Macaca fascicularis: one gene and its partners. The protein of the gene in region 1 interacts with the protein of each later gene in a biochemical or structural test. Links are inferred from orthologs where the notes say so. Each region holds a gene or a part of one and is shown in the gene's direction. Other genes may lie near its edges.

Evidence for each region. The genes of interacting proteins can lie anywhere in the genome.
Region 2: the proteins of PEX19 (region 1) and ABCD1 form a complex in vitro, tested with the Homo sapiens proteins (3 studies listed by BioGRID and IntAct, with this or other methods). The link is inferred for Macaca fascicularis from reciprocal best matches to the Homo sapiens genes PEX19 and ABCD1.
Region 3: the proteins of PEX19 (region 1) and ABCD2 form a complex in vitro, tested with the Homo sapiens proteins (3 studies listed by BioGRID and IntAct, with this or other methods). The link is inferred for Macaca fascicularis from reciprocal best matches to the Homo sapiens genes PEX19 and ABCD2.

Annotation. Positions count from the first base shown.
Region 1 is NC_088375.1:100,772,917-100,779,211, forward strand, and holds the start of PEX19 (peroxisomal biogenesis factor 19), read left to right. Parts: upstream 1-2,550; 5' UTR 2,551-2,562; coding exon 2,563-2,632; intron 2,633-4,047; coding exon 4,048-4,157; intron 4,158-4,577; coding exon 4,578-4,743; intron 4,744-5,501; coding exon 5,502-5,587; intron 5,588-5,800; coding exon 5,801-5,962; intron 5,963-6,282; coding exon 6,283-6,295. UniProt on the Homo sapiens protein: Necessary for early peroxisomal biogenesis. Acts both as a cytosolic chaperone and as an import receptor for peroxisomal membrane proteins (PMPs).
Region 2 is NC_088395.1:159,799,161-159,803,916, forward strand, and holds part of ABCD1 (ATP-binding cassette sub-family D member 1), read left to right. Parts: coding exon 1-7; intron 8-343; coding exon 344-489; intron 490-2,738; coding exon 2,739-2,823; intron 2,824-2,964; coding exon 2,965-3,090; intron 3,091-3,232; coding exon 3,233-3,425; coding exon of another isoform or gene 3,426-3,479; exon of another isoform or gene 3,480-4,126; coding exon of another isoform or gene 4,127-4,147; exon of another isoform or gene 4,148-4,476; intron 4,477-4,756. UniProt on the Homo sapiens protein: ATP-dependent transporter of the ATP-binding cassette (ABC) family involved in the transport of very long chain fatty acid (VLCFA)-CoA from the cytosol to the peroxisome lumen.
Region 3 is NC_088385.1:46,046,776-46,052,509, reverse strand, and holds part of ABCD2 (ATP-binding cassette sub-family D member 2), read left to right. Parts: intron 1-2,861; coding exon 2,862-3,007; intron 3,008-5,734.

The DNA of each region.
Region 1 (6,295 bases):
CATAATTGGGGAAACAAGATTGATGTATGTGAAATAATTGTGAATCCCAGGCAAGAATTAGAATTTGATAAACTGGAGAGCCATTAAATCTTTAAGGACAGAGTGATATGAAAGTACTATAAAATACTGTTATTCAACAGTATTCGCTATACATTAGAAAGGCAGAAGGAGCAGTCAGTAGTAGGTCAGTAAATACTGAGATGAGATGTTAGGAGTATTAGTAGTAAAAATAGAAAAGCAGAAACAAGTTTAAGAAATAATGCAAAGAAAGAGTCATGCTTGTTTTTTACTCCATTTTAATTATCTATTATCTTTTAATTAACATGCTTATATTACATTAGTTTAAAGCCAATTGACTAGGTGTAGTGGCTCACATCTGTAATTCCAGTACTTTGAGAGGCCAAGGTGGACATATCACTTGAGGTCAGGAGTTAAAGACCAGCCTGGCCAACATGGTGAAACCCTGTCTCTACTAAAAATACAAAAATTAGCCGGGCATGGTGGCGCAAGCCTGTAGACCCAGCTACTCAGGTGGCTAAGACAGGAGAATCACTTGAACCCTGGAGATGGAGGCTGTAGTGAGCCAAAATTAAACCACTGCACTCCAGCCTGGGTGACAGTGAAACTCGTCTCAAAAAATAAAATAAAGCCAATAGAGATGCCTGTTGATAGACAAGTTTTCTTTTTTTTTAACGTGTTTGTTATACCTATAGCCATATTGGAGATCCACATGTAAGCAATTTGAATGAGAAACCCTGGAATAAATTATGTTGCAGGTATTGGGGAAACAAGTTTATCAGGAAAGGATTTGATTACAGAAGTTTAGAATTGTAAAGGACTTAGAAAGTGATTTAGTGGCAGAATTAGGGCTGGAATTTAGGCTTTATAACTTACAGTTCATAATATTTTTATCCCAAAACACACTACTTGTGGTCAGAAGGAAACAGGTTTTGCACAGATACGATTTTACATGTCTGTGCCCTGTCTGTGAAAGACATAGTAAGTCTTTCTGGTGCTTGATGCAGTACTCAAATGTGTGTTTGGGAAGCTAAGCATGAAAGTGATGAGGTGACTTAACACAGGAATTTTTTTCATTTAAAATTCTTACCTTGTGTCATACTTACTGTGTGTATATCTCATCATACCTGCGGCTCACCTCCACTTAGCTACCTTACAGCAGGGGGTGGTCCTGATTTATCTCTTTGTCCTTGCTGTGCCCAGAACAAGACCTAAATAATAGGTGCTCTCCAAGTGCTAAAACAGATCTGTATGTGAAACAGTTGCTACATTCTTACAGATCTGAATAGAACAATTCCAAAGGAGGAAAGGGACGTCTAGAGTTACCTCTATCTGAGCATCCCCGGTGTTCACTCAGTTGGAGGTTGGGTTCTGTGTGGAGAAAAGGAGATTGGTCAGGGAAAGCAAGTCTATTACTAACTACTACATTCTAATTGCCCTGCTCAGTCCAAGGTCCCAGATGCTCTCTTTCTAACATTGAGTTCTAAGTTCCTGGCCCTGTGTCCTTTAATCAAACAGTTCTAATAGAGAATAGGAAATGAGAGATGCCACTAGATTGGGCAGACAGATGTGCCTGATTAGGGACTGCAAGAGCAAAGAGTGGCCAATGAGTGCCTACTAAGTTTTAAACCCTAGCCTAGGAGTTGGGCTTTACAGCAGCGAAGACAACAGACGAAAATCTTCGCCTTCATAGTGTTTAAATTCTGCACGGTGGGGAGCGGAGAATAAACAAGCACGGTAGATAATATGTCAGATAGTGTTCAGTGTTAAGAAGAAAAGGAATGGCCAAGTAAAGTGTTTCAGAGAAGATAACATTTGAATGAAATAATGAAGTGAAGCCGGGCGCAGTGGCTCACGCCTGTAATCCCCAGCACTTTGGGAGGCTGAGGTGGGTGGATCACCTGAGGTCAGTAGTTCGAGACCAGCCTGGCTACCCAGACTGGCCAACAAGGTAAAACCCCGTCTCTACTAAAAATACAAAAATTAGCCTGATGTGGTGGTGCATGCCTGTAATCCCAGCTACACGGGAGGCTGAGGCAGGAGAATCGCTTGAACCCAGGAGGCCAAGGCTGCAGTGAGCCAAGATAGCGCCACTGCATTCCAGCCTAGGCGACAGAGCGAGACTCCGTCTCAACAAAAGAAGTGAGAGAAAGTAGTATGTTATGTACCATAATTGTCATATCAATCATATATGTATAGATTCTGGTTATTTGTAGGCAGTTTGTCTCAATCTAGCCTACTCATAGCTCAGGAAGAAATAATGAAAGAGCTTCGCCAGGTAATTTGGGAAGTTGAAAGGAGTCCGGGCCTCTAAAACCAGGCAGAAAATAACACTATCTTATCCTTAATTCTGTGTTTCACAGGCGAAAGGGGAAAAATACCCAAAACAGAAACTCAAAGCTTCCTGGCCCTTTAAAAATGGCGGTTCCGCACTGGCCAACAATACCATTGGTTGCCCGAGGCAGAAGAGGGCAGGAACGAAGGGGTGGAGGGCGTGGCGGCGCCGAGGGGTCCCGCCTCCTACGGCAAGTCGGAGGTAGCAAGATGGCGGCCGCTGAGGAAGACTGTGGTGTCGGGGCAGAAGCAGACAGGGAATTGGAGGAGCTTCTGGAAAGTAAGAGCCCATAGTGGGAAAGGCCCGAAGAGGGCAGTTGTGAGGACCCATTCCGGGCGTTAAGTGAACCTGAGGTATTAGGGACAGGGCGGGAGAGGATCTCCAAAGGTTAAATGGGGGCGGAGAGTCTGACCGCCAGCCCCCCAAAAAATCTCTGGGTCATCCTGCCCCACCTCCGCGACTGGAGCTGGGGAACTCACCTGGGGTCCCCCAGTGGTCCAGATTGTGGATGTTTCCGCAGGACGGCGTTTCATGATACCTCTCCAAACTCCTCTTTCTTTAGGTTACTAAGTTCTTAAAGTCCGACTTCAGCAGCAGCAGCAGCAGCATTTGGTTCTTGTTGGGTAGCGAACCACGCACTCACTGATTGCTTACATTAACTCCTAGCAAGCTCGTGGCCCATGCTGCTGCGCCTCGTCCTGCCTTCCTTGACATGAAAGACACTTTTCTCCTCGTAGTCCTTTTCTCTTTCTCTCGTTAGGCCCCTTAACAGTTCTTTCATCTTGTTAGTAGCTCAAGCGGACTCCTTTCCCTTATTTTGAGAAACTGAGGATGTGGCGATTTCAGGGGAAAGCAGTTCACCCTCCTGAAAGACGGTGGATGTTTTCTTAGCATTACTGTCCACTCCCCTGTTGGCTTCCTGCCCAGAGTGGGGCCAGTGCTCTCTCCCTGGGCCTGGCAAGCAGAATGGTGGTGAGGACACAGGCTTTTCAGGGCAGAGGTGAATTTGTAATCTCTTGCTCGATCACAGAGATGTGGGCAGGCAGAAGAATGAACAGAAACGCTGAGGAGTGCCAAGTGACTGTAAATTAGCCTACGGTTATCTGCAAAGATCAGACCAAAAGGAGCTCTAGGAGGTTGTGGGAGAGCACTAAACTGGAGAATAAGAGAAGATAGTTTAATGCCTTACCATGGAATGTAGTATGTGGTCCCTCAGTCTGTGCTGGTACCAGTACCAACAAGAAGCTGGGTGGGATGTCATGTGCCTTCTCACCAAGTTATTCCTTTTAGAGCTCCAGAGTGAGTTCAGAGGGATGAGGACATCTGTGTTCTCTACTCCTGTTGGGTATTTATTTGTATGGGATTTCTAGGGAATCATTAGGTTGTGGCAAGGGAGACACTATAGATGGAGATGTCTCTGCAGAAATTTTTAATCCTCTCCTCCCAGCTCTGAGATGGATACTTGTTCCACCGTAAGGGATTTCTTGCCTTTGCTCACAATAAATTAGGTAATCTGGAAGGAAGTAGGAGGCTCATTGAGGGTGGTCTGGGGAGGTGGGGGCCTCAAGGCGGAAAATTGAGGAAAGTTGGCAATTTGAAAAATCATATTCGTAATGCTTTGCCCAGAAACCACCCAGCCTTGCTTGCATCCTCATCTGTCGCCAACACACACACCATGTCTCTTGTCTCTGAAGGTGCTCTTGATGATTTCGATAAAGCCAAACCCTCCCCAGCACCCCCTTCTACCACCACGGCCCCTGATGCTTCGGGGCCCCAGAAGAGATCGCCAGGAGACACTGCCAAAGTATAAATTCCACCCCCTGAAGGGATGGGGAGGGGATGGGCATGCAGCTCTGAGCAGAGGTTGGGCAGGCCCCTATGGGCCAGAGGGGAATGGGGGAGGGTACCTTGGCCTCACATTGGTGAGTGCTCTTGCCAGCCTCAGTCCTTGTGAAATAAGGACTTGAGGTTGAGTGGAGGAATCTCAGAGTTCCTTGAAAAAATAGTAGGTTTAAATGGTTGGATTGGTATGCCATCCCATACCCTCTTTCAAAGACTAGATACCTTTTTTGCTATTCTCATTAGGAGCAGTAGTTAGAGTGTCCAGTGGAAGTGGGTAGGAGGGAAGTGCATTTCCCATAGCTACTGCCTGTGGCTTCTATCAGAGGCCAGGTGCAGTGTAGTTCTAAGTAAGAGATGCATTTCAGCCACCCTTCCCCCGCAGGATGCCCTCTTCGCTTCCCAAGAGAAGTTTTTCCAGGAACTATTCGACAGTGAACTGGCTTCTCAAGCCACTGCAGAGTTCGAGAAGGCAATGAAGGAGTTGGCTGAGGAAGAGCCCCACCTGGTGGAGCAGTTCCAAAAGCTCTCGGAGGCTGCGGGGAGAGTGGGTGAGGAGACCTTAGATACATGGAAATATCTGAACAGATTCTTAAGTCTTTGTTGCCTGAAAACACCAGAATTCTTAGTGAAGTTGATAGTAATCATGATGTCACAGCCATGGAATGGGTAAAGGCAATGAGAGAAGGGGTGGAAATCCCTCTTTTTTTTTTTTTTTTTTTTTTTTTTTGAGACGGAGTCTCGCTGTGTCTCCCAGGCTGGAGTGCAGTGGCGTGATCTCGGCTCACTGCAAGCTCCGCCTCCCGGGTTCACGCCATTCTCCCGCCTCAGCCTCCCAAGTAGCTGAGACTACAGGCGCCCGCCACCACGCCCGGCTAGTTTTTTGTATTTTTAGTAGAGACGGGGTTTCACCATGTTAGCCAGGATGGTCTCGATCTCTTGACCTCGTGATCCACCCGCCTCGGCCTCCCAAAGTGCTGGGATTACAGGCTTGAGCCACCGCGCCCGGCCGAAAATCCCTCTTAATGAAAAGGGGCGAGATAGGTTAGAAAGTAATAGAAAAGATTATTCAAAACTGACCATTTGAAAGGTCACAGTGTTATTGTGGGTATCATCATGGAGAATAAACTGACATAGAGTCCGTGTATTAAATAGATGTATGAAAAGACTATCAGGATAACCGCAGTTTTCCCAGATGGGGAGTGATAATGATTCACTAGTAAATGCTTCATATCCAAGCTGGTAACCAGTTCAGTCTAGGCAAGGAAACAAATTCCTAAATGACGCTGGCTTTTTAAATCTCTCCTAGGCAGTGATATGACCTCCCAACAAGAATTCACTTCTTGCCTAAAGGAGACACTAAGTGGATTAGCCAAAAATGCCACTGACCTTCAGGTGAGGAGAAAGTAGTAGGGTCCCACAAGGGGTCCACTCTCAGACACTTCTGCAGCAGAGTCTCAAAAGACAGATGCTTTGAGTATCATCCCAAGTCTGTTCCTGTCTTGTTTTGTTACAGGCAAGTTTAGGTAGTTTATCTTTCCCACCTGACAGAGTGTGAGCATCCCAAGAAGGTGGTATACCTGCTCACCTCTTACTTGTCCTATCTAGAACTCTGGCATGTCGGATGAAGAGCTGACCAAGGCCATGGAGGGGCTAGGCATGGACGAAGGGGATGGGGAAGGGAACATCCTCCCCATCATGCAGAGTATTATGCAGAACCTACTCTCCAAGGATGTGCTGTACCCATCACTGAAGGAGATCACAGAAAAGGTTTGTGAACTTCCATTTCTGCTTTTTCTCTTCATTTTCCATCACATCCACTCATGTGGGCTATTTTGTCTACTCAGAGCCTGCAGAAAGAGTAACTTGAGTCTGCTTTTTTCCTTTATTTATTTGAGGCGGGGAGAGTTGGGGGGTGGGGAGAGTTGTGTCTCTGAGAGAATAAAGCTGTCACACTGTATGTTGGGGTATAAGGGGTATAACTTTTGGGGTATAAGAGGAAATCCTGCAGTTCTAGTTTTCTATAAACTGGTTCAAGACTCTGGGGTTGTTGTCTAATCAGTCTTGCATTTCTGACTTCATTTCTCCAGCAAGAATTTGGCT
Region 2 (4,756 bases), on another chromosome or scaffold:
CACAGAGGTGAGGAAGCCCACGCGTCTCTCCTGCACCTCTTCCTGCCTGCGCGCTCACGCGTGGCTTCCTGCAGAGGCCCAGGAAGTGGTGAAGAGTCAGCACCTCAGGAGAGGACACCGAGGCACTGTCCCCAGAGCCAGAGACAGGCTATGGTTCCTGCTCCCTCCACACCCACCCAATCCACTGCCCTGTTTTGGATCTGTGTGGGGTGTGTGCCCGGGCGGCGACGTGAGCGTGTGGGTGCGTGTGAGCGTGGCATGTGGACACTGCCTGGGAGGCGCAGAGTATCTTGGGAGAGGCAGGGCCAGCCCTTCCCTCTATGGACACCCAGCTTTCCCACAGGCCCTATATGTCTGTGGGCTCCCTGCGTGACCAGGTGATCTACCCGGACTCAGTGGCGGACATGCGAAGGAAGGGCTACTCAGAGCAGGACCTGGAAGCCATCCTGGACATCGTGCATCTGCACCACATCCTGCAGCGGGAGGGAGGTAGGAGGCCTGGGGCTGGCAGCCGCCTTTTGTCTCACTGTGGCCTCTCCCTTGGCCTCCAGGGAGTGAAGATTATCTCAACATCCAGGAGTCTAAAGTGCCAGGTGCCACAGGGGCGGGACAGAGGATGCTGCCTCTAAGGCCTGCCTACCAGGGAGGACCAGCACGACACAGATGGCCCCAGGTGGCATGGGTGCTCTAGAGAAGGGGGCACCTAACAGGGATGTGCACCTCATTGGGGGACCCAGGATACCCTCTCCCAGAGAAAAGAGGTCTGAGCTGAGCCCTGCAGAATGCTGAGCGGTTACCCTGTCGGGGAGCCAGGGACAGCAGGGCGGAGTGTGGCCCACAGGCTTGGTGGCGCGAGAGGCTAGCTCACAGAGTCCCCTCCGGACCAGACGGGAGCCTAGGCTTTCCCTGAGCAGGATCAGACGCTCTTGGAAGGACCATGGGGCGGTGGGCAGGGGCAGGCACATGTGTGCAGTGATGGCTACTGTCCGGAGGTTTGTGCAGACGCTTGGAGGGGGCTGGGGCCAGCAGAGTCGGGCGGATTCTGAGATGAGTTCACGGAAAAGGAGGCCAGACTAAGCTGTTGTCTTGTCCTGGGCTTATCAAGGAATGCTGCTTGTTCACAGTGTCCATCGTGCTGGGAGAGCAGAGGAGGAGAGGGGGGTGCAGCTGCAGGGACATGGTAGGAGTGTTTAGTTCTCTCTTTGAATTCTGATCCTCTGGGTTCAGCTTCCAGCCCCCAGTGCTGGGTGCAAGATTGCCCTGGGCAAGGGCCTCGCCTTGCTGGGGCTCCCCTTCACGGTTCAAGGGCACAGGCACCAAGCCCTGCCTTGGTGGCAACATGAGAAGAAGTGGCTCCTGCAGGAAATGGCTGGGGTGTTGTCACCTGCCTGTGGAGGAAGCGGGGACACAGGTGGCGATGGCAGTGGAGCAGCCCCTGGCGCGGCCCTGCTTCTTGCTCCTGCTGCCCTCCGCCTGGGAGCAGTGGCCCCTCCCGCCTCTGTGGCAGCCTGAATGCCTAGGGCCTGTGGCCGGCCAGCATGAGCCGTTAGGATGGAGTTGAGCTGCGAGGAACAGAACCGGCCTCCCTGCAGTACTGGCTAAGATCGTTTGTGAGTTTATTCTCCTGAGCTGTTAGGTCCCAAGAGAGCCAGGCCACGGTTGCCGGGGCTGGCCCTGCTCTGTGAAGGTCCCAGGGCTCTAGGCTTTTCTACCAGGTCACTCTGCTGTGTGTGGCCTCCATTTCCAAAGTCACCTCATGATACAGGGGGGCTGCTGCAGCCCTCACATCATGTCCCAGGCTGTAGGATGGAGGAAGTAGAAGGGAAGGGGCAAAAGGTATGTGCCTTCTATCTTTTAAGGAAGGTTCCAGAAGCCACCATATTGAATACTTACAGTTACATCTCATTGGCCACAACTTAGTCTCATGCTCACACCTCACCACAAGGCCACCTGGGAAGCGTAATCTCTATTCTGGGTGGCCATACACCCTGTCGCCACTTCCAGTCCTGGGCCGCAGGGGAAGACAGCATGCCCGAGAATACGGGAGGGGCCACTTCTGCCACAGTGCCCCGGCCCAGTGGAGCAGCCAACTCACCTGCTTGTTCAAGCAGCCCACTCGAGCCTTGCCAAAGTGCTGGCACAGGGCAGTGACAGGAGGCCCAACCCCTGTGGGTGGTGACAAGCCCCTGGTCTGGGGAGAGCACTGTGGCAGCTCTGGGGCTCTGTGCCAGGGAATTGTGTGGGTGCCCTGGGGCTGCCATAAACCGCAGGGGTGGGTCGTCTCCTGCATCCAGCAGCCTGAGATCCAGGTGCCAGCAGGGTGGACTCCTTCTGGGTGTCGTGACAGAAGGATGTGTTCCAGGCCTCTGTCCTTGGCTCGCAGATAGCCCACTTCTCCCTGTATATCTTCACCTCATGTTCCCTCTATGCACGTCCTCTGCCCGCATACCCCCTTTTTATGAGGACATAGTCATATTGAATTAGAGTCTACTCTGATGACCTCATCTTAGTGTGATCACCTCCATGAAGGCCCTGTCTCCAAATAAGGTCACACTGAAGTGCTGGGGCTGGGACTCCACCATATCTCTTCTAGGAGAAGGCATGATTCCAGTCCCCACTCCTCCATGATTAATGCCTGTCATCACAGCCAGCTCATTCCCACAGCTCCCCCAGCTCCCCGGCCGGCCCCCAGGGCTGGGTGCTGGTGGAACTGAGCCAAGACCCTTGCCCCCGCCCAGGTTGGGAGGCTATGTGTGACTGGAAGGACGTCCTGTCGGGTGGCGAGAAGCAAAGAATCGGCATGGCCCGCATGTTCTACCACAGGTGAGCACTCTGGGCTCCCTGGGGTCCCCTGGAAGGGGAAGTAGCAGCCATGGGGAGGCCTGGGCTCAGTGGAGCCTGAGCTGGGCTGAGGTACTGGGCCCTGGAGGGTGCACAGACTCTCCTCTCGGCCCGGACCCCCAGGCCCAAGTACGCCCTCCTGGATGAATGCACCAGTGCCGTGAGCATCGATGTGGAAGGCAAGATCTTCCAGGCAGCCAAGGACGCGGGCATCGCCCTGCTCTCCATCACCCACCGGCCCTCCTTGTGGTAGGTGCCCTCTCTCCCTGTCTGGGGCCGGTGGGAGTGGCAGCCTGAGGGGAGGACGTGGCCTGGTGAGCCCAGCAGCAGCAGGCGGCTCTCATCAGCAGCCCTCGTGCCGTGCCCCTGACTCTGTCCCTCTCCTGGCCAGGAAGTACCACACACACTTGCTACAGTTCGACGGGGAGGGTGGCTGGAAGTTCGAGAAGCTGGACTCGGCTGCTCGCCTGAGCCTGACAGAGGAGAAGCAGCGGCTGGAGCAGCAGCTGGCAGGCATTCCCAAGATGCAGCGGCGCCTCCAAGAGCTCTGCCAGATCCTGGGCGAGGCCATGGCCCCAGCACAGGTGCCGGCACCTAGCCCACAAGACCCTGGCGGCCTCCAGGGTGCCTCCACCTGACTCGGCCTTCCCCGGCCCCTGCCCCGCCCCCAAGCTCAGATCATATGAAGGAGACAGCAGCACCCACCTGCGCATGCGCCCTGCCCCTGCATGCCTGGCCCCTCCTAGAAGACCCTTCCCGCCCTTGGGAAAGTAGATGTGGAGGGTGACGCCCTGCATCACCCCCACCCTGTCCCTCCCACTCCCTGGGGGGGCTGTTCCACAGTGACTGGGCCCTGTCCAGGGTAGTGAGTCTCCTACTTTGCTCCGCGGAGGAAGCTGGGGCACGGGGGCCCAGTGCTGGCCACAGCAGCGCAGCCGGGCCCCAGGAGCCACTCAGGCCACAGCCCCTGGTGCTGCAGGTGGCCTCCCTCCGGAGACTCGAGTCCCCATGATTCCCTCCTCGTCAGTCTCTCAAAGACCCCATGATCTATCCCCTGAGGGTGGCCAGCCAAGGCTTCTGTCGCATGGGATGCCATAAAAGCCACCCAGTGGGACCCATGGTCACACAGAGCCCCTCACCTGCATCCTCTCCCCCACGAGAGCCCTGAAGAGCCCACGGGAGAGGGACGCACAGCACTGCCTGCCAAGCGAGAATGTAGCCGCAGCCCCCTCGGCCCCTCACCTCTTCTTTCTACAGCCTAATTTATTGGATTCCCTATTCGTAGCCATCTCCATGGCCAATGTGACTACCCTGCCAGCAGCGGGGGTGGCCCAGCCTCTGAGTCCCATGGGGCCCTGGCTCCCACCGGTGCCAAACCCAGCCCCTGTGGCCGTCACCCCGCCAGCCTACACTGCCAGCCGCCACCGGGGCACACGGGCCTCTGCTTGCCAGCCGGGAGTGCGGACACCATGTTCCCAGCTCAGTGCCAAAGAGGGGTCACCAGGGGGAGCTGTCTATAGAGCCAGCGCCTGCCCGAGAGACCCCACCGCCACCGTGTGCCTTTCCCAGGCCCTCAGCCCTCGGGCCGGGCGCCACCCCCAGTCCCCCCAGTAAAAGCCTCCATTGGCAAATGCAGTCCTTCCTCCCTGCCTCGGAGTCTGATGGTGTCTGCTGCGGGTCTCGGGGAGAGATGGAGGAGAGGGAGTGGGTTGCCTGTGGGGGAAAGAGTGAGTTTGGGAAAGGAGTGGGCCTGACCCCCAAGCCCTTCTGCGGGGGAAGGTCACCAGAAGACACCGTCCAGCATGTCCTCCGCCAAGCCTCACACCAATGCTCTTAGGGTTCCCATGATGGTGGCGGGGCAGAACCTGCAACAACATTGCACAGAAATACTGGCTGAGCCCAAATAGGACTAGGG
Region 3 (5,734 bases), on another chromosome or scaffold:
CTCTTTCTCTGTCCAGGCACACACACACAATATACACTTTATATTTTTTAATCAATTTGCAGTAATCATAAATCTTTACCCCTAACTAATTTAGGATATGTTTTCAAAGAATAGAGATATTCTCTTAGGTAACTACAGTATACTTATCAAATTAAGGAAATTTGACATTGATATAATATTAATATCTAAAGTACAGTCCATATTCAAATTTTGGCAATTGTCATAACACTGTACTTTAGAGCAACTTGTTTTTCCCGATGCATTGTCTTGCACTGCATGTAGTTGCCATGTCTATTTATTACAGTTTGCTTTATTCAGAAGAGTTTCTCAGCATTTCTTTATTTTTTATGACATTGATATTTTGAAAGAGTGCAAGACTACTGCTTTTTTTTTTTTTTAAGAGAATACCTCAATTTAGGTTTGTCTGATAGTTTCTGCATGATGTGATTCAGGTTATGAACTTTTTACAGAAATACTACTTGTATTAGTTTCTAAGGGCTACAAATTACCGAACACTTGCCGGTTTCAACAACAGAAATTTATTTTCTCACATTCCTGAATACCAGAAGTCAAAGTATTGGCAATCGACACCCTCTGAAGGCTCTTGGAAAGAATTATTTCCTGCCTCTTTTCCAGTTTCTGGTGGTGCCAAGCATTCCTTGGTTTGTGGCACCATAACTTCCATCTCTGTCTCCATGTGGCTTTCTTTTCTTTCCTGGGTTTCTTCTCATTTGATAAGGGCATTTATTGGATTTAGGGCTCATCTGGTTAATCCAGGATGATCTTGTCTCAAGAACTTTAATTAAATCTGCAAAGACTCTGTTTCTAAATAAGGTTTCATTTACAGATATGTGGGGGGGGGGTCTGGATTAAGATGGATCTTTTTGGGTCCACAATTGAATTTATTGCATTGCTGAAATGATGTGTGCTTCACAAAGGATAATATTAGAATGTTTCAGATGTAGATAGGACTAGAATTTTTTTATTAAAAATCATAAATTCATACTGATACTCAAATTCAAATTAAATAGTAGAGTTTTTCTCTTGCCTTCCCACATAGTATGTTTGTGTCTTTCTTCTTCCACAGTGAGAACCCTTGCTCCTAACATTACCAAACCATTTATTTACTTAACCAATCCTACAATACACATAAAATGGTTTCAGAATTGCTACCCCTATATCATTACCAAAAATAAATTTGCAAGTAAGCTTCAAGATTTCCACGTGATTCTTTCTGTCTTTGACTGAAATTATGTAGCCAAGTTCAAAAGTCACATGGATTAATTCATCCCCACCTCCATCCCCCTCGCTGTGTGGTTACTTTATCCTTTGGATATACTGTTCAGTTAAATTGTTTCTGTTTGTATTCAATTTTAAGGTTTCTTCCTTCATTCTTGTTGGTTTAATTTTGTTTGTTTATTGAATAGTAACACTTTGAGGGATTCCAAAAGTAAAAACTTTATTAATAGAAAGGATACTTAGGCCTTTTCCTGCCTGTCCATTCCACCTTGTTCCTCCCACCTCCTGTAGCTAACCAACTTCACTAGTTTCAGGTTTACTCTTCCTGTGTTTCCTTTTTTAAATATAAATGGGTATGTCTATACTTCATTTTGCTTTCTTTTTACATAGAAGTGGTTCTCAACTGGGAAGATTTTGTCCCCCAGAGATATTTGGCAGTATCTGGAGACAATTATTTTTGTTCACTACAGGAAGGGGTGCTACTGACATCTAGTGGGTAGACATCAGGTATAATGCTAAACATCCTACTATACATAGGGTAGCCCTCGACAACAAACAATTATCTGGTTCAATAAGCCAAAGTGCCGTTGTTGAGAAACCCTGCTATAAGTCTACTTTTGCATTTTGCTTTTCAACTTAACAATATATCATAGAAATCACTTCATATCAGTTTATAGAGGTTTTCCTCATCCTTTTTTTTATAGCTGCATAGTGGATGTACTATAGTTTATTCCGTCAGTCTTCTTTGTATGGGTATTTATGTTGCATTTCAATATTTTGCTATTACAAATAAGTTGTAATGAATAACTGCATGCATCTTTTTTTGTATTTTTAGAAGTATATTTTCAGAGTAAATTCCAAGAAGTGGGTCAAAGGGCAAATGCTCTGTCAGTTTGCCAAATCCCCTCTGTAAGAGTTGTATGATTCTGCATTTTCACTGTAGTATGAGAACACTCCTTTACCCACAGGCCTGCCAGTGGAGTGAGTTATCAAGTTGTCGAATTTTTGCCAATCTGAAAAGCAAGAAACTCAATGTAGTTTTAATTTGTGTTTTTCTTACTATGAATTACATTTTTTTGTTTTGTTTGTTCACATTGCTGGGTCAAAACCCAAATTGCATAATATGTAACCCAAATAATTATAGATGAATTACAGAAGCAATATTTATCAAATGCAGTGAAACAAAGTATATACAGTATTTTTCTGCTGAAAATGTTAAATGTGGCTGGGTTCTGTGGCTTACAACTGTAATCCCAGTGCTTTGCGAGGCCAAGTTAGGAGGAACCACTTGAGGCAGGTGTTTGAGACTAGCTTGGGGAAACATATCAAGACCCTGTCTCTACAAAATATAAAATAAAATAAAATTTTTTAGAAAAAAGAAATGTCAGATGATTTCTTAGAGAAGCTTTTCTTGTGTCCATGTGCCAGTAAGTTTTTATGTAAACATAATGGTATCGTTTAGCAGTGCCTGAGGGAGAAGTACTCATCACCAGGTTAACAAATATCATCCTGGAAATGTAGTGTTTAAAGTCTTCACTGATGTTTTCAGACTACCAAGATGTCACACTGAGTAAGTTATCATGACTTTCCACTAGGATTCTTGTGTGCTTGGCGTTTTACAGGCCATATATGTCTCTTGGAAGTCTTCGAGATCAAGTCATTTACCCTGATTCAGTGGATGATATGCATGATAAAGGTTGTACAGACCAAGATCTGGAACGTATCCTACACAATGTCCATCTCTATCACATAGTTCAAAGAGAAGGAGGTAAAGTCCATCATTCTTTTTTAATGCATTTAACTTCACGTTTAAAAAGTAACCTTGGGTATATATTTAGTGTGTGGTTTAATTTGAATGTATGCTATAATCGGAAATAAGCACATAAGTGTAAAGATGGAGTTTTATTGCTGTTCCATTATTTGTATTTCTTTTTCTGCTTGTGTTATGTTTAAAACAACACATTAAGGTGTTTTTTTTTTTTTTTTTTTTTGAGGCCGAGTCTCGCTCTGTCGCCCAGGCTGGAGTGCAGTGGCGCGATCTCGGCTCACTGCAAGCTCCGCCTCCCGGGTTCCCGCCATTCTCCTGCCTCAGCCTCCCGAGTAGCTGGGACTACAGGCGCCGCCACCACGCCCGGCTAATTTTTTTGTATTTTTTAGTAGAGACGGGGTTTCATTGTGTTAGCCAGGATGGTCTCGATCTCCTGACCTCGTGATCCGCCCGTCTCGGCCTCCCAAAGTGCTGGGATTACAGGCTTGAGCCACCGCGCCCGGCCACATTAAGTTTTTATCAAGTCTCCATGTCAGTGCAGCTAACATTTAAAAAAAGCTTTTTTCTTCTATATTTGAATGTACAAAGTCCCTGAGGCCATTGTCAGTCTAGATGTATTTAAAGTCTGTGACAGAAATATTAGCCTTACAAGCCCTCAGCTTACATTAAATTAAATAATTTGAGAAGTAGATACCACAGAACTTACTTTTTTTGGTTTCAGACCCACAATCTTACCAGTATCTTTTTTTTGCTCTCAAGCAGCACACAGATAATTAAAGTCAGAAACTTCTGTATTGTGTTTTTTCAGCATAAAACATTTTTGAAAGAGTATAAATAACATTTGTACATATAAGCTTAAAATAGAATTATTGTCTAATAATACTCTCTGTGTTTAGTGATACTTTCAAATAATTTAATAATAATAATCTCACTTTAGCTAGAGCAGTCAGGCAAGAGAAAGAAATAAAGGGCATTCATATAGGAAGAGAGGAAGTCAAACTATCCCTGCTTGCAGACACATGATTCTATATCTAAAAAGCCCCATAGTCTCAGCTCAAAATCTCCTTCAGCTGATAAACAACTTCAGCAAAGTTGCAATATACAAAATCAACATACAAAGATTACTAAATTTCTATACACCAACAACAGCCAAGCCAAGAGCCAAATCAGGAAGACAATCTCCTTCACAATTGCCACAAAAAGAATGAAATACCTAGGAATATAGCTAACCAGGAAGGTGAAAGATCTCTACAATGAGAATTACAAGACACTGCTCAAAGAAATCAGAGAAGACACAAATGGAAAAGCATCCCATGTTCATGGATAGGAAGAATCAATATCATTAAAATGGCTATGCTGCCCAAAGCAATTTACATATTTAATGCTAGTCCTACAAACTACCAATGACATTCTTCACAGAGCTAGAAAAAAACTATTTCAAAATTTATATGGAACCAAGAAAGAACCTGAATAGCCAAGGTAATCCTAAGCAAAAGGAACAAAGCTGGAGGCATCATACTGCCCCACTTCAAACTATACTACAGGTCTGCAGTAACCAAAACAGTATAGTACTGATACAAAAACAGACACAGAGACCAGGGAAACAGAATGGAGACTGCAGAAATAAGGCCGTACATCTACAACCATCTAATCTTCAACAAAGCTGAAAAAATAAGCAATAGGGGAAAAGACTCTCTATTCAATGAATGGTGCTGGGATAACTGGCTAGCCATATGCAGAAGACTGAAGCTGGACCCCTTCTTTATACCATATACAAAAATCAACACAAGATGGATTAGAGACTTAAATGTAAAACCCCAAACCATAAAAACCCTGGAAGACAACCTAGGCAATACTATCCTGGACATGGAAACAGACAAAGACTTCATGACAAAGATACCAAAAGCAATCACAATGAAAGCAAAAATTGACAAGTGAGATCTAATTAAACTTAAGAGCTTCTGCACAGCAAAAGAAACTATCAACAGAGTACACAGACAGCCTACACAATGGGAGAAAATATTTGCAAACTATGCATCTGAAAAAGGTCTAATATCCAGCATCTATAAGGAGCTTAAACAAATTTACAAGAGAAAAACAACACCATTACAAAGTGGGAAAAGGACATGAACAGACACTTTTCAAAAGAAGACATATATGCAGCCAACAAGCATATGAAGAAAGCTCAATATCATTGATCATTAGAGAATGCACATCAAAACCACAATGAAATACCATCTCACACCAGTCAAAATGACTATTATTAAAACATCAAAAAATAGCAGATGTCAACAAGGTCGTAGGAAAAAGGGAACACTTATACACTGTTGGTGGGAGTGTAAATCAGTTCAACCACAGTGCGGCAATTCCTCAAAGAGCTAAAAACAGAACTACCATTTCACCCAATAATCTCATTACTGGGTTTATACTCAGAGGAATATAAATCATCTACCACAAAGACACATGCACACAAATGTTCATCACAGCACCATTCACAATAGCAAAAACATGGAATCAACGTAAATGCCCATCAACGATAGATTAAAGAAAGTGTGGTACAGGTACACCATGGAATATTATGCAGCTATAAAAAAAGAATGAGCTCACATATTTTGTGGAAACATGAATGGAGCTGGAGGCAATCACCTTTAGCAAACTAATGCAGGAACAGAAAACCATATACTGCATGTTCTCACTTACAAGTAGGAGCTAAGTGATAAGATCTTA